Oryzias latipes: one gene and its partners. The protein of the gene in region 2 purifies or fractionates together with the protein of the main gene of each other region. This does not show direct contact. Links are inferred from orthologs where the notes say so. Each region holds a gene or a part of one and is shown on either strand. Other genes may lie near its edges. The genes, in order: polr2d, pin1 and raf1.

The links.
Region 1: the proteins of pin1 (region 2) and polr2d purify together in Homo sapiens (co-immunoprecipitation; 3 studies listed by BioGRID and IntAct, with this or other methods). This does not show direct contact. The link is inferred for Oryzias latipes from reciprocal best matches to the Homo sapiens genes PIN1 and POLR2D.
Region 3: the proteins of pin1 (region 2) and raf1 purify together in Homo sapiens (co-immunoprecipitation; 3 studies listed by BioGRID and IntAct, with this or other methods). This does not show direct contact. The link is inferred for Oryzias latipes from reciprocal best matches to the Homo sapiens genes PIN1 and RAF1.

What each region holds. Positions count from the first base shown.
Region 1 is NC_019878.2:10,414,473-10,418,847, forward strand, and holds polr2d (DNA-directed RNA polymerase II subunit RPB4), read right to left. Parts: upstream 2,852-4,375; 5' UTR 2,716-2,851; coding exon 2,637-2,715; intron 2,104-2,636; coding exon 1,923-2,103; intron 1,852-1,922; coding exon 1,756-1,851; intron 843-1,755; coding exon 764-842; 3' UTR 259-763; downstream 1-258. UniProt on the Homo sapiens protein: Core component of RNA polymerase II (Pol II), a DNA-dependent RNA polymerase which synthesizes mRNA precursors and many functional non-coding RNAs using the four ribonucleoside triphosphates as substrates.
Region 2 is NC_019859.2:22,494,265-22,498,382, forward strand, and holds the start of pin1 (peptidyl-prolyl cis-trans isomerase NIMA-interacting 1), read right to left. Parts: upstream 2,840-4,118; 5' UTR 2,809-2,839; coding exon of another isoform or gene 2,784-2,808; 5' UTR 2,739-2,783; coding exon 2,681-2,738; intron 1,799-2,680; coding exon 1,716-1,798; intron 826-1,715; coding exon 717-825; intron 636-716; coding exon 525-635; intron 1-524. Other genes in the region: ubl5 (ubiquitin-like protein 5), read left to right, coding at 2,784-2,808, 2,933-3,036, 3,336-3,397, 3,862-3,945, 4,043-4,080. UniProt on the Homo sapiens protein: Peptidyl-prolyl cis/trans isomerase (PPIase) that binds to and isomerizes specific phosphorylated Ser/Thr-Pro (pSer/Thr-Pro) motifs.
Region 3 is NC_019865.2:17,684,110-17,687,697, forward strand, and holds part of raf1 (RAF proto-oncogene serine/threonine-protein kinase), read left to right. Parts: coding exon 1-20; intron 21-180; coding exon 181-205; intron 206-439; coding exon 440-555; intron 556-641; coding exon 642-759; intron 760-861; coding exon 862-946; intron 947-1,054; coding exon 1,055-1,231; intron 1,232-1,303; coding exon 1,304-1,350; intron 1,351-1,433; coding exon 1,434-1,552; intron 1,553-1,711; coding exon 1,712-1,843; intron 1,844-3,588. UniProt on the Homo sapiens protein: Serine/threonine-protein kinase that acts as a regulatory link between the membrane-associated Ras GTPases and the MAPK/ERK cascade, and this critical regulatory link functions as a switch determining cell fate decisions including proliferation, differentiation, apoptosis, survival and oncogenic transformation.

The DNA of each region.
Region 1 (4,375 bases), on a different chromosome or scaffold from region 2:
TAATTTATATTGTGTATATAACTTTTTTTTTTTAATGGACAGCAATCCATCTAGGAATCCTTGGTGGAGAAGGGAATGACAGCACCTGTGATTCATTTGCTGCATCTTTTCCTGTTTCACCACCTACCTACCCTTTAGCTGTAATAAAGATTGGAAGATTTGATGAGATCCCTCCCTGCCTCTGTCCCTATGGTCCACCGGCTCTCCTTCTCACTTTGTGATTCTTTTTGTTAAAAGAGCTTTACAAACTTTGCTTGGTTGTTCCTTGGTGTAGTTTTTTTAAATTTTTATTTTCAATCAACACAATAAATCCAGTTCCCTGTTCCGCTCCTAATAAGCGGTTTGGACAGACAACCACACAAAAGCACTAAAAGGGGTTCTCCTGGGACAAGAAGGTTCTGTTGGGAATCAATTTTGCGTGGACTCTGACTCGAAGGTGGTCTTGCAGGTCTGAGCTGGCAGTACGAGTGGGCGGTGTTCGGGATAAGCTCACTGATGATGGATTTGAGTTTCTGCCCATAGGTACCCGAAGGAGCAGAGCACAGATACAGTTTTCTTATCAACATGTGCTGGATTTTCCACAGACCGGATAGAATCAGACACACAAACAGCATCTTGTGTGCCTTTAAAGTACATCAAGATTCTGCTGGGTGGTGGGTGGATTAAATGTTCTGTGATTTTTCTGGTCCCGGTGGAACGTGAACCACGCTGCCTCTGTTAAGGAGAGTTCTGGAGGTCTCAGGTCCAGCTGCTGGTCCTGGTCTTAGTACTGGAAGCTCCTCTTGGTCTGAATGTCATCCAGGATCTGTTGCAGCTCTTCATCCTCAAAGCGACCCTCCAGACTGAGAAAAGAAGCAGAACCCGGCAGAACTTTATTCTCTCAACGATGAATTATTTGATAAGAATTGTAACAACATCACCTGCAAAACGATCCATATCTCAGTAAGATACAGTGGTGGACAAAATTGTTGACAGACTGACTGATTATGAGTTTGAAGACAGCTATGATGTCAATTTAAGGACATACCTGAGTTCATCATGACCCCCTGGGCAATTAGTTCTCAGTCTGTTATGGAGGTACCATCATTTTTGGCCAACCCTATTTCATTAGCTTTTTTTTTTTTTTAAATAATTCTGTCAATCAACAAATTAAAAAGCTGATTTTGATTATTTCATTTTCATTAAATTTTAATTTATTGTTACTTTTGAACATTTCAAGTCATTTTAGTGAGAATTCTGGAATTTGTTTCTATAACTGATGGGTACCAACAATTTTGTCCACCACTGTATATTTTCACAAAAATAATGATCACTAAACAATCTAAAATAACTTATCTGCTATTTTTTAATGCATAATAATTTCAACAAGAAACCAATTCCTGACAAGTAAGAACAGCATAAAACTACATGTCTGTGATGAATTGATCCAAAATGTTTTCTGATCCAGTTTAGGATAATCTCTCAGGTTTTCTCTTTGAATTAATTCAATTAAAGCTGCACACGTCTGCCCTTAATGTAAAATAGTGTTACTTCGACATTACTAAATAAATCTCCTTGGCATCCAGACTAACTTATACTTTTACTCAATTTACTGAAAGTGTTAAAATAAAATAAAAAGTCAAGCCTCCCAAAAATCCTAAAATCACTAAGGTGTTCAGAATAATCTGATGTCAGGTGAATCTTTTCACAGATTGGTTAACGAAGACCCTGTAATTTATGGGTGAAAAGAACAAGTCCGGTTCAGTCCAGACTCACCTGGGGGTCAGAGCTTTAGCCTCCTCTGCAGCTTCAGGACACAGATTCGCCAAACTGGCCAGCTCAAATTTATGGAGCTTCTTCTGCAGGAGGAGACTGAGACAGACAGAAAGGCCATTAGGACCCAGATCAGGGCCAGGACCTGGGACCAGAAGGGGCATCCTTACCTGCGCACGGCAGTGATGGTCTCGCGGTTCTTGAAGCGGCTGAAGCGGGCCGTGTAGTTGAGAGTCTTCATGAAGACCTCGGACAACTCCTGTTCGTCCTCGGCGCTCTCGTTCTGCTGCTTCCTGTGCTCCAGCAGCATGTGGACCTCCGAGTTCAGCAGCGTCTCAGAGTTCTCAAACTCTGCAGACAGCAGGAGGGGGCTGGTTAGTCACTGAATTTGAGCTCAGATTCTACAGAATATCAGCTCCAGAACCATTTTGATTGAAAGACAGAAGGATTCCTGCAGTGATTGTGGACTGGAATTTAAGGCCTGTTTCAAGAAGTAGGACAAAAATCCTGCTGATCAAAGTCAGCCTGTACTATTTTAGGAAGCTTGTTGAGTCTCAGACCTTCCAGGACAGCAATCCATGTAAATTTAAACTTATAGTTTACTCTCAGCAAACAAACAAATAATTCTATCTTGATCAGTGGACCAAACATCATGATGATCACAATACATGTGTGTCAGTGAGAGAAACATTTAACCAGTACAGATGATGATGGTCGTATAATGAAAATATTCAGATTCAAATCGGTGATGCAGCTTACATAAATTAATAATCAGGGGATGATTATCCTCATCGGTCACATATAGCAACGTAATTGTTTCCAATACAGGTTACACTGTAACCTAACAAAAAGTTTCGGAAGTAAACAGTATTTGTGCGCGCCACCTTTGGGAAACAGCAACTGTGACGCGTCTTCTTCGACGTCTCCCACGTGCGAGGAAACCGAGCTTCCAGCGGCAGTCATGTCGAGTCACAGTCACGGGTCGCAGAGGCGCGCAGTACCGATGAGCTCCGTCAGCTTCTCTCGGAGACTACGGTGAGAACGTTAACTGTGCAGAGAACAACGGCGCTCGGGGAACTTCCGGTCACAACACCGATCTACTTCCGGTGATATTCTTCCTCTGCTTTCTTCTGGTTTAGGCGGGTGTCATCTAGCAATAATGGTGCGCTTCTGCTACCTACTGTCCTGGAAGATGAAGTGTAGGAACTCCCCTCAAACACAACGATAGAACTGTTCAGTCATATATGCCCTTGTAATAAATAATTTATTTCCTTGTAAATAAATGTTAAAGTTAAAGATTTAAAGAAAACAATTGTATTTTTGTGTTGAAATTGCTTGTTGATTGCATGTACTTTGAATCTTTTTGGGGATGAGTTTCATTTGTGGTGTTCAAATTCCTCTGTTCAAGTCTCATTAAAAAAGAACAACATTCTTTTTGGTGTAATTTCACATAACAGTCTGTTAAATTTAGTTTAAAATATTTTAACAATCAAAAGCAAATTTTATATTCATAAAAGTAAATTATTAAAAACCAAACCACTGTTTAATGTGTTTCTTAAGTAGATTTGTTTAATTCATGAAAAGTAAAAAAGCAAGAAAATGTTTCAACTTTTTTAAAGGCATTAAATTATATCAAAACTCTTCATATTTAGGTGTTTTTTAGTTGACTCTGTCTTTGTTTTGCTTTCTTGTGTCTTTATTTGATGATCTATCTCATTTTTTGTTCTAAATGTTCTAACTGTTTTACATTTATGTTTACAGGTTCCTAACTTAACATTTGTAGTGTTCAATAATAAAAGACCATGTGAGCTCGCCATAGCATAGACCTGCTGAGATTTTTGGTCCCTGATATTCATTTTAACTTTATTCATCTTTTCCCCTCTCTTTTGAATTTCTTACTGATATGTTTGTCAGTGTTATTTATATCATATAAAATTTGTATTTTTTTTAACCATGTGACCTTTAAAATACAAACCTTTATTTTATAACTAAAAATGTTCTTTATCCGCATTATTAGTTTTCAACAGTTTCAATTGCTTCTTGTATTTCCATGTAGGTACATTATCTTGCTGTGACTGGTCTTTATTCCTCTCTAGATGCTTCTCTACCTGCTCCTTGCAGGTCATAAGGTCATATGCAGACTTTATTTAGTCTTACTTTATTTATTTATTTATTTAGTCTTACTTTAGTCTTTATACTCCACCTGAAGTTGCCACACGTTTTTTTTCACAGCTACACTGGTAGCAAACACTTCTGAAACTCTGTAAACTTGAGAATGAATCTGTAGCAACTATTATTTTCTCACCTTTTGTAATCTCCTGCAACTCCACCAGGTGGCGTGGTGATTCAAATTTCAGAACGGTAGGGTTGGAATGTGTGTGAGGTTTTTACATTTTGTGTGTCCATTGTTTTTTCCAAGACCTTCAGGTTCCTGAAGGGGTTCAAAGCATGTTTTATTGGTAAATTAGGTACTCTACTCTAAAATTGTCCCTTAAGAAGTTTGAATAGACTTCTGATGGTCTAGTAAAGTGCTTAGAGTTATGTTGTTTATGCCCTGAAGTAACTGGAATGGACTCCATGCCCCCGTAGTCCTGCTCAGGACTATGGGGGCATGGAAGATATG
Region 2 (4,118 bases):
TATGTTTAATAAACTTTACAGTTGTTAGTGCTACTAGTCATTATCTTTTTTTTTTAATCAGGTGGGTGATGAGGTTTGAGTTAAATGTAGATCATGAATGCAAACATGCAGACGTAAGCCAACTTAGACTAAATTGGGTATTTTAGGAAGACTAAAACTAAATTGCATGTTTTCTAATACGTATAATATAAGCATTATGTGTAATTTCTCTTCAGTTTGGCATTTGTGGGTTGATTCAACAGAAAAGACAACCCGTGCCAGAGTAAGTGATAAGAATTGTCCTGGCAAATGCAACAAAGCAATGTTGAGAGACCAACAAATAGACAGAGTAAAAAAGTTTATGAGGCTTTTGCTGGAGAGGAAACCTTATAAACAGAGTTAATTATTAAGCATTTTTTAACTAAAATTAGAAAGCATTTTTACTTAAAAAACTGTAAATATTAGGACAATACTACCTTATAACTACATAAAAGCTGAAGAACTAAAACTAAGAAAACCCAATATTCCCATTATGATGTTGGTACCTCTGGCAAACAGTCCCAGATCTCCACCGTTCTTAGCTGAGCTGCAGTCGCTGAACTGAGAGGCTAGAGATTCAAAAGACTCATGCCCAGATTTGATTTCGTCTATGTACTCTAGAAAACAGAACCAAAAAAAAGACAGATTAAGTAGAGATTTGAAACAGATCTGGTGTTTCTGTCCTCTGCCTTACTTACTCTGAATAAGCTCTATAGCCTCTTCTTTAGTTCGTGTTATATTTTGTTCCCTCCAGGAAGAAGGACGTCGAGACTGATTATGTTTTACTAGGAGGTGGGAGCATCGCACCTGAGAGAGAGAAAGGAGGAAACACAAAAAGATACACAATACATCATCACCTATTTGTTAGAAAGTGTTATAAAATGTTTCTGTGCAGGGGTGTAATGACTAATTGACCTGATCAATCAATCGATTTATATTCCTACGATCCAAGCAGAACAATCTGTCTGAGGCATTTGTTAATTGAATCGATCTATTACATTATAAAACTGTTTCAAATTAAAATAAATATATTATTTCCATATCGGGAAATACCATTTGGCTTAAGGGACGGTTTACTTTACTATAACATAATAACAACCAAGTGTTAGTTAGATTGAACCAATATTGACCATAAAATCGTACTGGAAACCACAAGTGATCATATGAATTAGACCTGCACAACAAAACGCAAATGTATCATTATCGCAATTTCAAGCTGTGCAATTCGCATATTGCAAAAGTCGTCAAAAATAGCAATAAATGTTTACTTTAAATGTGCTAAAACAAATATTGGAGTATTTAACGAATCAAATAAATTGACCAATCAGATGGGGCTCTTTTATTTATTTATTTTGAAGCTTTTCTTAGGTTAGACGTTCGCCTCCTATGTAGACGAGGGTCATTTGGAGTATAATTTAAGTTATGTTGACTCTTATTTAAATTAAACTGTTGCAGTAAAATGGAAATGATGTTTTTAGTCGTTTTGCTATTTGTTCATGAATGTTTTATCGTCGTCGCAATATTGATCACTAATATGGCGAGTTTTCCTCATATGGTGCAGCCCTAATATGAATGTCATTAAAACTAATCATTACCGGTACATCACTATCACAAGCTCTACAAATACTTCTTTAGTGAATTTATTATGATTTCAATCCTAAATGTATTGCTAATAAAACACACAAAATGAAGTCCACCTTATCTGGCTCTCCACGGCCATCTCCCACAGGACGTTCCCACTGGCTGGCATTAGTGATGTGGTTAAAGTAGTACACCTTGCCTACAAACAGCAAAGAAAGCAGTTTGATCAGCACCTTTGGAATGATCCAAGACATTAGAAGACACAAAAATCAAATTACAGTTTACATGACCTTACCCACTAAAACTGCAAAAGCACTCACAATTCCCCGTATCGGTATTATTGTTGTTTCATAGTAGTTGGTCATGAAGTTGCATGGTTTTGAATAAAACCAATGCATCAACTGCTGACAGTGTTCAATTTAGTTTATAGGTCTGCAAAAAGCTGTTCCTTTGCAATCCTTCCTTTTTACTCCATTGAAAAGAAACACACAAATAAAACAGAAAAAAAAACACCTAAAGTTTTTACAAGGCAATCATCTACCCAAACAGATTTTCTGTAAAAGAAGAAGAGAAATCAGATAAACAGACGTATCTGCAGAAATAAATCACATTTTGGGGGGGATCTGAAAGTTTAGTAGATTTCTCAAAGTTAAATAATTACCTATATATGAAAAAAATGTAAAGTGATCTTGTTTACAAAATATTCCCCAAATTGTCAGTTTTACTGTGCGTATATATTCACAAAATACTTTCAAGACATCAGGTCTAAGCTGCGTCTGCGCAAATTCCAGGTGACGTCATGCAACGGCGGCCCTGCAGAACATCTCCATTAGAAAAAAAAGTGGGGGAAAAGCTAGTTATAAAGCAAACCGTAGCATAACCGTATTTTCCCAGCGGCACTTTTCCTGATAGAAACCGTGTCGGTAACCCCGATGCATGCATTAGCAGGACAGCCTCACCTGAAACAAGTTCACAAAGCCTCGCTTACCACGATGCACGGGCTAGCTATAAGCTAAATCAACTTCTCGTGGGCTGCAGTTGAGCTCATACATTCAGCCTCCCCCGTCTTATGTATATTTACCTGAACTACGGCTCATTCTTTTCTCCCATCCCGACGGTAAATTCTCCTCGTCTGCCATGTTATCTGCTGCAACGTTATCAAGTTAGAATTCAACGTTCAAACGATGCGACACGGCTACGGCTCAGCAGGTACGACAGTCGGTTTACGGCAAAAGTTGTTTTCTGAGTTTGGCCCGCCCCCAAACGGCTTGTCCGTCCTACTATTGGTCTTCAACTCTTGTCAATCATATTTCTTACTATCTAATTGGTTAAGAGGACAATAACACGCGACATCGATTCTACGGTGATGAGCACCGAGAGCTTTCCAGAAGGTTTCAACTAGTGAAGAAAATCCATCAATCTTGGGCTACATTTAACGTATGTTTTACACTTTTTGATCTTTTTAACACGTCTGGCAACATTTTTGAAACCTTAAGTTGATCTTAATAGGCGCCATCTAATTTATGTTTTATATATTTAAAAGAGTTGTGTGCACAAGCTAACGGGTTAGCTAAAAAAATCATGGCTGGTCGAATTTCATCGTCAATTTAGTTTCTGCTGTTGACGCAAAATGAATTACACATTCTTTTGACTTAATGTTAGTGGTGTGAACGATTAATGTCGTTCCTGTTCATAACTCCAATATTTCAGCTTACTAGCTCCTCTTTTTTTCACAGTACACGATGATTGAGGTGATTTGCAACGATCGTCTTGGGAAGAAAGTCCGGGTCAAGTGCAAGTATCCTTCTGAACACATTTGATTTGCTGATCTGCTAAAGATGTTTTGGCTGTTAATACTGCACTGCAACATGCTGGTTCTGATTAGTTAAGGGGGGGGGGGGTTACTGTGCTATGGTCCATCCATAGCACAGTAACCGTGCTATGGATGGACCCTTTCCTTATGAACCCATTTGGGGTTCATTAGAATAACCATTTGGGCCTACATTAGAATAACCAGGTAACCTATGAATCATGTATTTTCGACTGTGGGAGGAAGCCGGAGTGCATGGGGTTTCTCTGCAACAAGCAAACTCCACACAGAAGGGTCCCAGCAGGGTTTGGAACCAGGGCCTTCCCCATTGCACCATCATGCAGCTCTATTTAAAATCTAAAGACTGAAAACATTCAGGACATGAAAGCTGGAAGTGTTTGTTTTGAAGGGTTTTCCACGTCACCAAATTGCTCCTCAACATCCTTGCACAGCTCAGAGGACACAATTGGAGACCTGAAGAAACTAATTGCAGCACAGACGGGAACAAGATATGACAAAATTGTACTAAAGAAATGGTAACTTTGCCTTCCTTTGCCTTTTTCTTCTTTGCATCACAATGAACATTGCCCTTTTTGGCTTCTTTACTTAGAAAATGTGTTCTTGTTTTAATAGGTACACCATCTTCAAGGATCACGTGTCTCTCGGTGACTGTATCCTTTTGACGCACTGACTTGACCTTTACTAAGCT
Region 3 (3,588 bases), on a different chromosome or scaffold from region 2:
CATCTGAGAGTCCAGAACAGGTTAGAGAGCTGTGTGCAGTCTGACTGGCATGCCTTTACCTGTCTTCACATCTTATCGCCTGGGTTTAAAACCACACATGGCAGCATGGCGTGGGCTTTCGTAATCTTCAGTTTGAGTAAGGTTATTAATCCTAATTAAATGTGGCTTTTATTTTTCTAGGATGCAATGCGAGACCATGACTCAGGTAAGTCTGCTGCGTCACTCTTCCTCTTTTACTTTCCACATAATTGTCAGTCTGCGTACATACTGCTTCCTGCCACAGCCTCTTTTAGAGGAACCTGTTACAAAGAGAGATTTGATATCTGAAAACAATGCATTACACTTAAACAGCCTCAGCTAATCTTTGCCCGCTGGACTATTAATTTAAAAATAAATGTTTTGCCGTGCACCTGTGAGCATTTTTTCTGTGCTCGTGCAGCGGGGAGTTCACCTAACCAGAGCCCAACAGGCTGGTCCCATTCACAATCCAAGACCCCCACCCCTGCCCAGAGGGAGAGGGCCCCGTCCTTCACTGCTCAGGAGAAAAATAAAATTGTAAGTCACGTCGGCACAGACGAAAATACGAGCTTGTCACGTCTTATTTAAAGGTGCGACGTCTGGTTGGTTTTTTGTCCATCCAGAAGCCTCGAGATAAGCGCGACTCCAGTTACTACTGGGAGATTGAAGCCAGTGAGGTGTATCTGCACTCCCGCATCGGTTCGGGCTCCTTTGGAACTGTATACAAAGGAAAATGGCACGGTATGAGACATGCTCATCCCAGACTTTACACATATTCAGCATCAAAGAAGAAAGAAGCACGCCTCCTTTGATATGAGCTTAATTCATAGCTGTCATTCGCAGGTGATGTAGCAGTAAAGATTTTAAAGGTGACTGACCCCACACCGGAGCAGCTCCAGGCATTCAGAAATGAAGTGGCAGTCCTGAGGTAAATGGACTGACTGTCTTCCATCTGTATCAAACCTTTACCTAAACTGTATTTGCATTGTGGCATTTCCCTGTTTGTGGATTTGCTCCTCTTTGTTTGTGGGTGCAGGAAAACTCGACATGTCAACATCCTGCTGTTCATGGGCTACATGACGAAGGACAACCTCGCCATTGTGACCCAGTGGTGTGAGGGCAGCAGCCTCTACAAACACATTCACGTCCTGGAGACTAATTTCAAGATGATCCAGCTTATAGATATTGCCAGACAGACAGCTCAGGGCATGGAGTAAGTCACAAAAGGAGAACTCCCCTCGTGTTTCAAAGGAAATCTGTCTAATATTCCATTTTTCTATTGTAGCTATCTTCATGCTAAGAACATCATCCACCGGGACATGAAGTCTAACAGTATCCTTTCAGTTTTTTCACTAAAACGTGCAAAGTTCTGAATGAATTGTGTTTCCTTGTGTAAATCCTTGACAAAATTGCAGACATCTTTTTGCATGAAGGGCTAACAGTGAAAATTGGGGACTTTGGTCTTGCAACGGTGAAGGCCAGGTGGAGCGGCTCACATCAGGTGGAGCAACCTTCCGGATCCATTCTTTGGATGGTTAGTAACTCCATCAAGATCACAAGCAGTGTCCCAACAGCAGGATTTTGTTAAAAAAACAAAACAACAACAACAACTTAGAAATAGACAAAAAGTTAAATGATTCTTTTAGTGGATGCCAACTATAAAAAGCTTTCTTTCTTTTCTTGTGACTGACAGGCTCCTGAGGTTATCCGGATGGAGGATAATAACCCCTACAGTTTCCAATCTGATGTCTATTCCTATGGAATTGTTCTCTTTGAGCTCATGACAGGAGAGCTCCCGTACTCCCAGATCGCAAACAGAGATCAGGTAAAATCACAGGTATTGTAACATCCGTTGTGCACAAGAGTGTAAAAAAAAAAAAGATTGAAGAAATTCAAGGTGATATCAGATTCAAAAAGCCATTGCCAAAGAATCGCAAACTCACAAATTAGTTTAAGATGACCTGGAAAAGCCACGGTTGTGACGCTCCATTCATAAATTTTTTCCTCCTAAAAAACAGACATTTTCCAGAAAACTCATGGTGGAGAAAGGCTTAAAGTGTGCCGTCAATCACATCCTTCTTGTAAAGAGCCACTCAGATGAAAATGGTGTTTTTAGATTGTTCTTGTGGCATTTTTCCGATGAAACTTGCCTTTACCTTCCATATATCAATACAATTAAACTTGAAACTGTATTTCTGACCATTTCTTCATTCAAATTGATAAAAAAAAAGAATAAAAAGAACATGTTTGTGCACAACATCGAAGGGAAGGGGGGTCTGGGTTGCTCCATGCCAACGGTCCCGCCCACAACTCGGAGGTGAATTGCTAATGGACTGCTGTTCTGCAGAAACAGTCCTAGAAAATGACAGGTTTTCGGATTTTGCCAAAAAACGGTCATCATAGTTGGAAATGCTCTTACAATAGTTAAAAAATAATCAAAATGGGTCTTTAAAGGGACCTAAAGTGACAGAATTCTTTGACTTTGTCCCTTAAACATAATAATTAAGGATATCAAAGACAAAACTTGTGGTATCCTCAGACACAGCTAACCACAGTTTCAGTCAAACTTAATCTGAATCCACTTATTGCTCCCCTCATTGTGACATGTTTCTCTGAAAAAGTTTTTGTTTTGCATTTGGGAAGCGACATCATTAGGTACTTTAGACGAGTGTGGATCAGAGGTGGAAGCTTTTAATTAAACCTACAAAGCTCTGGTTTTGAAACGTTTCTGTTCAGTTATATTGTTGACGGAGAACAGAGGGGGGAAGTTGGAAAAACAGAAGTGACTCACGCGGCCGGCCGATAACAGACGCAAAACCACTTAGTGATGGGCGTGTCTGCGGCCGCACTTTTTAGTTATTTTCAGTTCTGGAAAAATACAATGTAAAAACGTAGTAAAAAAGTGATTAGAAACTATGGAATTTTTACTTTCACTCATGTGGGTTTTGGCCATCAGTTCTGCACTTCAGTTTATTTAAGGCTGCATGTTTTTTCATGTTCAGTTTAAACTGTATAATTTGTTTTTAAAGATAGATCTGCAGCTTTTACATGACTGCTCTTTGTAGGATGATCCAGAGAAAACTTTAATTGTTTTCATTAGCAGTTTTTTATGCTCTCTTATGCAGCATTTCAATGGTTTTGCCAGATTTCCTCCAAAATAATATTCCCATAATACATCAAATGTATGGAAATGAATGAACCCTCAGTTGTTCCTGAACTCACCGGTGAGTTTGCCAATCACATCGACTGTTTACAATGAGGCAGCGATGAAACCAACCAGCCCATTAGTATAGTTTTCATCAAAGTTTTTGAAGGTTTCAAAAAAATTTGAGCTTTGAAATTTCTGGTTTAAGACGAGCATAGGAAGAGTTATAACACATTATTGCGATACCCTCTTGGAATAAATCTTTACAACTTTGCATATAGTTCAGTGGAGCTTTTACCTCTTTTTGTAAAGACAATTTTCACATTGTTTTGACCTTGTATTTAATTTGTTTGTGGATTTACAAAGATTTATCTTCTCTCATAAAACATAGAAACAACTCCGCGAAACAGCGAGACGGCTAAAGA